Linked DNA regions of Saccharomyces cerevisiae S288C. Changing the gene in region 1 together with any one later gene gives a genetic interaction. Each region holds a gene or a part of one and is shown on either strand. Other genes may lie near its edges. The genes, in order: YPR202W and PRP3.

Region 1 (3,501 bases):
ATGTTTCACTATGGCTTCAAATAATTTTGAACTATCCCTGGCAATTGCTATTTCCTTATATGGTAACAATAGCAAGCAAGCAATAGCTGCAACATTTGGGCCGTTGCTAGAAGTTCCAATTTTATTGATTTTGGCAATAGTCGCGAGGATCCTTAAACCATATTATATATGGAACAATAGAAATTAATTGTTGACTCACCAAAAAATTACTTGGGCACCAATGAATAATACCACTTATAACTCTATATTAATCCAAGTTCACCCTAAAAACAGATAAAATTGACAATTTTTTTTGAAGGACAACTGATTGATCTTAGTGATGGTTAGGATGAAAAAATGGGTTTGTTCACGCCATCCCGCATCATTCAAAAACTCCGCACAGTTTTGGAGTTCAGTAAGAAGGGGACGTAATCTTACTATTGCATTTTTGAAAGTCTAATGAACTCAAGTGGCAAACTGTGTTACGTACATCACTTCTAAATACAATGTCTTTGAATTAGAAACTCGCTGAAAAATTATTATTGCGTATTGTATGTCATTTTTGAGATTTTCCTGCAAGATTAGTAATGCTTTAAACCCAAGTATTGTAAGCCCGATGGAATAGCACATGGTGATGGTACAACAATGGCTTCATAGATCATTCGCATAAAAATGGAATTCGTGCATCTAGTGTCTAATTAAAATTAACGTAACGAAATAGGACAAGATAAGCTTATGTCGTAGTACCCGCATAAGTACGTGTAGCTGCCATTTTATAATGCATGAAGTTGAAGTCATTAGGATGAAGAGGTGACATATAATGTTTCAAAATGGTGCCAGTATAAGTTTGGGATATCATGGAGCGGCATTCGTTTTAGTAAATGACTGTATTGTATAGTACTGTCTGTATGATTATCAGTTGAGTTGGTGAGATGAAGTAAAGATATTATAGCATCTGCGTTAATGTGTATTGCTATTATAGTATAGCATAGTGGTGTTATATAGTGGCACCGGGAATGAGTATAGGGAGTAAGAAGATCTTGTAGTTGCGTTTGAATAGCGACATGAGGACACGTCTTATGTCGCCATTATTAGGCTGAAATTGCAAGCATAAACTATTCGATATCAAAGATACCACAAGACCATGTATGCATAATTATAGAATACCAAGGTGGGGAGAGATTAAAAACGCACCATAGCAGCTGCGCGAGTATATTCTGCTATTAAATTGGAATTCACTGAAAGGTGATGAGAATGCAAATAGCTATGATACCTTATAGTGGTTAATTTGTATGAAAACGTTATAAAGCATGAAGTTGAGAGTATTGATATGATAATGGAGGTTCTGTGATCAATTTTAGAAAATTAAAATGTGGATGATCATGAATGTTATGGGTAAATGGCACAAGTAATAGACAATTTAATGAATAGGGTGTTATGTTTACGATATTTCAATTATGTTAATATTTAGTATGTTTATATCTTCTCATTAATGAATGGTTAATTTTTATGTTTAGGTGATTTTGGTGGTGATTTTGTGGTTATATTGACATAAGTGTGTATAAATTGAGTGGTTAGTATATGGTGCAGTTATACAATATTTGGAACCGCAAAATGAGATGTAGATATTAAAATGTGGATAATCATGGGCTTTATGGGTGAATGGCACAGGGTATAGACCGCTGAGGCAAGTGCCGTGCATAATGATGTGAGTGCATCTAGTACTGATTTAGTGAGAATGGGGCCATGGTGTGGAATATGAAAGTAGGGTAAGTTTGAGATGGTATATACTGTAGCATCCGTGTGCGTATGACATATCAGTAGAAGTGAAGGTGAGTGTGGCAAGTGGCGGTGGTGGTAGTGGTGGTATAGAGTGGTAGGCTCCTTTACTTCGAAGCGTGAGGTCGTATACCTAATAAGGAAATGTAATTTATAACTTTTTATTATATTGGTCTTTTCGAGAGCGGAAGAAGTTGTAGGCTAAGCGCAGGCTAAGCGTAGGTCCATGTTTAAAGTATCCAAGAGAATATCCACGAAGCGGCTGAGCAACGAACAGAATCCTGGTTCTCCTCGACTAAGCAGATAGTTAAGATACTGTGCACCATGGAAATTGAAAACGAACGTACGTACCGACTACTTTATTTTTGCAGGCCGGAAATCAAGCGATGAATGAGACATCCTTCTGTTTTCTATGTTGTGCTTGAAGGGGACAGACAGTCGCTTATCTTAGTGAGATTGCTTACTAACTGAATTTACTTTGCTGCTGCTAGAGATTTGCACCTGCATAGCGCAGATTCTGCATCTTCTCAATAGCTTAATTATTACATTCTCAGATGATGATAAGACGGAAACTGGACAATCTTTTGTTTATATTGATGGATTTCTTGTCAAAAAGCATAACAATCAACATACTATTGTTAATTTCGAAACTTACAAAAATAAAATGAAAGTTTCCGATAGGCGTAAGTTTGAAAAAGCAAACTTTGACGAGTTTGAGTCGGCTCTAAATAACAAAAACGACTTGGTACATTGTCCCTCAATAACTTTATTTGAATCGATCCCCACGGAAGTGCGGTCATTCTACGAAGACGAAAAGTCTGGCCTAATCAAAGTGGTAAAATTCAGAACTGGTGCAATGGATAGGAAAAGGTCTTTTGAAAAAATTGTCATTTCCGTCATGGTCGGGAAAAATGTACAAAAGTTCCTGACATTTGTTGAAGACGAACCAGATTTCCAGGGCGGACCAATCCCTTCAAAGTATCTTATTCCCAAGAAAATCAACTTGATGGTCTACACGTTGTTTCAAGTGCATACTTTGAAATTCAATAGAAAGGATTACGATACCCTTTCTCTTTTTTACCTCAACAGAGGATACTATAATGAGTTGAGTTTTCCGTGTCCTGGAACGTTGTCACGAAATAGCGAGTGCCAGGCCGAACGACAGCTCTACGATGCGTACTTTCACTGACTTTGTTTCTGGCGCACCTATTGTAAGGAGTCTTCAGAAAAGCACCATAAGGAAATATGGGTACAATTTGGCACCCCACATGTTTTTGTTACTACACGTAGATGAGCTATCGATTTTTTCTGCATACCAAGCAAGTTTACCTGGCGAAAAGAAAGTCGACACAGAGCGGCTGAAGCGTGATCTATGCCCACGTAAACCCATTGAGATAAAGTACTTTTCACAGATATGTAACGATATGATGAACAAAAAGGACCGATTGGGTGATGTTTTGCATGTGTGCTGCCCAAGTTGAGAAGAGATACTAACAAAATGACCGCGGCTCTCAAAAATAATTGACGAGCTTACGGTGATACGCTTACCGTTATCCAGAGCTACAGCGCAACGTATACGTCGACGATACAACAAGAACGGTTCATCGGAGCCTCGACTAAAGACGCTTGACGGACTCACTTCCGAGCGCTGGATTCAATGGTTAGGCCTTGAAAGCGACTACCATTGTTCATTCTCTAGTACTCGGAATGCGGAAGACGTAGTGGCAGGTGAGGCGGCGAGTT
Region 2 (4,024 bases), on another chromosome or scaffold:
TCCTACTGCTACCGATATAAACTCAAGTGCGAGTGCGTCGAGATCACGTTCTCCGCAAATCAAGTTCGCGTCGAGTGTCAAGAATGTAGATGGTAATGCTGCACTGGGTGCTATTAAATCTAGGCACTCGCTAGACAGCCCAGGGGACCAGCAACAACAACATCATCATCACCATCATCGTGACACAGATCAGTTGTCCGTTCCAGGCCTTCCCCATTTGGCACCTTCAAAGTCATATAGTGTGAGTTCTGGTAATAAGGATTCATCTTTGAGGAAAGTCAGTAGCTCATCTTCGCTCAGAAAAGTAAAATCTAATGATTCGAACTCTGGTAAACGTATTAAAAAACCGGTCGTAACTTCAGCACACTTGAAACCAAGCTCAGGCGGTGGTGGTTTATTCTCTTTTTTTAAGAGTAAATCGAGATCCCCGTCATCTTTCAGAAAGGAAGATGAGAGTAAAAATACGCCTAAGCGTGGCGGATTGTTTGGGTTCGGAAGGCTGTAGTTGGTCTTACGTTCTTATGTGTTTATTCGATATAATTCTATAACATTTTTATGACTTTGTGCCTTTATGCATAACATGTATTGTACATATTAATCGACAAAAATGACATTCAATACCCTACACTAGTAATTAATAATGCTGCAATTCCATCATCGCATTCTCACCTAAAAGAAATGTGGACAGTGTTCATTATAAGCTGGGTTCCTATTCGTATTTCCGGCAATAATGCGTGCTAAGTGAGTTTGTAAAATCGTTAAAATGAGAATCAATGTACAAGGTTAGTATCACGTCAATTCTTTCAAAGCTTTATATTATTAGGTATACCTCCTTTGAAAGTAGCACCAGTCAAGATAATGGATCTTTATCCATAGTTATTGCAATTACTTTCAAAGCAATGCGGTTGTTATTGTTGCAAAAATATTGCAATATTAACTTCTTAGGAATGGTGAATTGAATTGTGTCGTAACATACGCTGTAACCCTTGTCTTTTGGGTTTAGAATGCGGAAATGAAAAACGTATAGAACATGATGAATCTACGAAGTGCAAGGTCCACGAAACAAGACAGTATCGTTGCAATTCAGTGAAATCCTTAAAATGGTTCAAATATAGATACTGGCTATCTTTTTCATTATATTGGCTTCTTTGACCTGTCACAATTATAGGGTTCAACAGTTATCTTTGGAGGAAGAAGCTGCTCATTGATGAGAAACAGGATTTATGGAAGAGAAGTCACATTCGTGAAAGGCACATTCATCAAGAAATTTTATTTTTTCTTTTGTGCTTCCCAAATTTACTGCCATACTACTCCATTTTTTGACAGCTTATTCATTTAAGAATACGACCTAACAATAGTATTCCGGAACTTTTTAACAATATCAATGACGACTAAGAGAAAATGACAACTGCAGGGAACAGATTTTAGATTTGAAAAAGCCATGACATGATACTACTATGTTCTAGATGTGTTTTATCTCCTTTTCGGTAGCATTTTTTTGGTAATTATCTAGTACGAGAGGTGACAAAATCTGTTGTTCTCCTTTAGGTTGTCGTAGTCAACTTTTTTTGTAGGAAAATTCTTGCAAGTACCCTGAAGTTATGTATGATGCAAGTCTATTGATTGTAATCAATAAGTTTTTCTAGCTCTGGCTTGCTATGTAACGTAGTGAACAATCAATGTTATCGAAAAAGTTTAGGTAAAATTCTCGAAAATGAATGCTGATAATTACTTTTTCTTCACTCCCCAATTTTGGATAATACTTGGCAGCTATATTCGCGAAACAGGAAGGTTAAAAACTGCTTCTCCAATGAAACAGTAGTTAACATATCCATTTAGCTAGAGATACTGCTTTTGGCCTCTGGACAGGCACTGTGAATTGTTCTTATATGTTCTAAAGTAAAGAGCCATGACTCAAAGAAAGTTTCTTGACTATGTTAATTTTTTTAGCATACAAATTTTAATATTATTCACATCTGCGTTTTTCTGACTGGATCCCGCACTGATCAATAACAAGAAATAGTCCTAGTAAAGTATTAGAATGCCAGATGACGTAAAACAATCAAAAAGACTCACAGAAAACATCAGGCGATCTATTGAATTGGCTTGAAAAAATGCCCCCAAGAAATACCTATGAAAAAGGTAATCCGAAACGCCAAAATAGTCCATATTATAAGCCAAGTTTCTTACGGCGTGAAGAAACTACCAATGATGAGGAGAAGTTTCAGGGCCATGGTCTGAAAACCGAACTTCACTCAGCGTTAAAGTCTTCAAATTTGAATCTTATCCGAAGAACTTATCAAACTGGTGAAAATCCCTATCTTAGTGATCCACACGATCGAGGCTCATCGAGCAGATTTAACAGGCGTTATGAACGGGGTCTGAAGTTTTACCAAAAGGGAGAAATCAGTAAAAGAATTGCCCAAGAAAGAACATTACAAAAACAGCAGGAGGAGGAAGAATTAAAAAGAAAGTTAAAACAAGAAGAAGACGAGAAAGATAAAAGAAAATTAATTGAGTCAGGTGATTTACCCAATTTAGAGTTACATGAGGATAAGTTCCTATTAGATTTGTCAAAGTTCAAGATATACTATGATAATAATCATGGCTATGAATGGTGGGACACGGCTTATTTAGATGAAAAGGGTGAGTTGATGGAAAAATATGACATGAATGGCACATCGCCTGCCGAAGAAAAGCTAGCAGAAGATATTGATGAAGTAGACGATGATGATGATGATGAGCACCCATCTATAAGATATGTAGCACATCCCTTACCTGAAAAGATCAACGAGGCAAAAGTATCAATCAAAGCATATCTAACGCAACATGAAAGGAAAAGATTAAGGAGAAATAGAAGGAAAATGGCAAGAGAAGCACGGGAGATAAAAATTAAGTTAGGACTATTACCTAAGCCTGAACCGAAAGTTAAACTAAGCAACATGATGAGTGTTTTCGAGAATGATCAAAACATAACGGACCCAACTGCCTGGGAAAAAGTAGTGAAAGACCAAGTGGACCTCAGGAAGAGAAAACATCTGGAAGAAAACGAAAGAAGACATGAAGATGCTATTAAAAGAAGGAAAGAAGCAGTCAATATGAACGTTGAAAAGCCGACAGTATACCATTGTAAGGTGTTCCAGTTCAAAAACTTACAGAACCCAAAAATAAGATTCAAGTTGAAAATGAATAGTAAAGAACTATCACTAAAGGGTTTATGCCTCCGTATACGTGATGACGGACCAGGAATAATTATAGTCGTGGGTAACGAAAAATCATGCAAATTTTATGAGAATTTGGTGATGAAGAGGATAAAATGGAATGAAGATTTTGAGTTGCACACAAACACTGGGGATATAAAAATGGACATGCATAATAATTCAATATCAAAAACTTGGGAAGGCTATTTACAAGATTGTAAATTCAAAGGCTGGTTTATGAAAGTATGCAATGATCAGGATTCTTTATTACGTACGCTGGGTCAGTTTGATTCAGAGCATTTTTATTCACCTGTTCAAACGTGATATCGGTGTCTACAAAATGATACGCTTTGTTTCATATTAAATATTATTTTACTGTATGTCGCCCAGAATAATGATTTTTTTAGCACAAAAACATTCCAAAATATAAAAAGAAAATGATTTTATATGATAGATGTACTTCAAGGAAATCGACAATTAAAAGAATCATTCTTCGTAATGAATATATGAGCATATGTCTATAAATCAACAGTAAATATACAAACTCTTTATCCTTTTCTTGGTTTTAGGTATTTACCGATGTTTTGAGATGATATCAGCCAAATCTCAAACCTTCCCTGTCAAGCACTTGCCTGTCAAATTGGATCAAATAAACGGTTCGTTGACTATGTCCGCCTTGGGGCATTCGATGTGCTGTCACGCCACATGGAAATCCAGCATTGAAAAGGAATCCTTTGATAATGCCGCAAACGAAGTACTCACAAGAAACGTTCTCACCTGGGATAAATTGGGTTAAAGTGGGGAAGTTATCTACTATCATATAT

The links.
Region 2: mutations in YPR202W (region 1) and PRP3 together harm fitness more than expected from each alone (negative genetic interaction), as found in Saccharomyces cerevisiae (one large-scale study listed by BioGRID).

Annotation. Positions count from the first base shown.
Region 1 is NC_001148.4:940,950-944,450, forward strand, and holds YPR202W (uncharacterized protein), read left to right. Parts: upstream 1-2,082; coding exon 2,083-2,101; intron 2,102-2,249; coding exon 2,250-2,947; downstream 2,948-3,501. Other genes in the region: ARR3 (Arr3p), read left to right, coding at 1-187; YPR203W (uncharacterized protein), read left to right, coding at 2,931-3,239.
Region 2 is NC_001136.10:1,403,945-1,407,968, reverse strand, and holds PRP3 (U4/U6-U5 snRNP complex subunit PRP3), read left to right. Parts: upstream 1-2,114; coding exon 2,115-3,524; downstream 3,525-4,024. Other genes in the region: JIP4 (Jip4p), read left to right, coding at 1-505; TRAPP subunit TRS31, read right to left, coding at 3,796-4,024.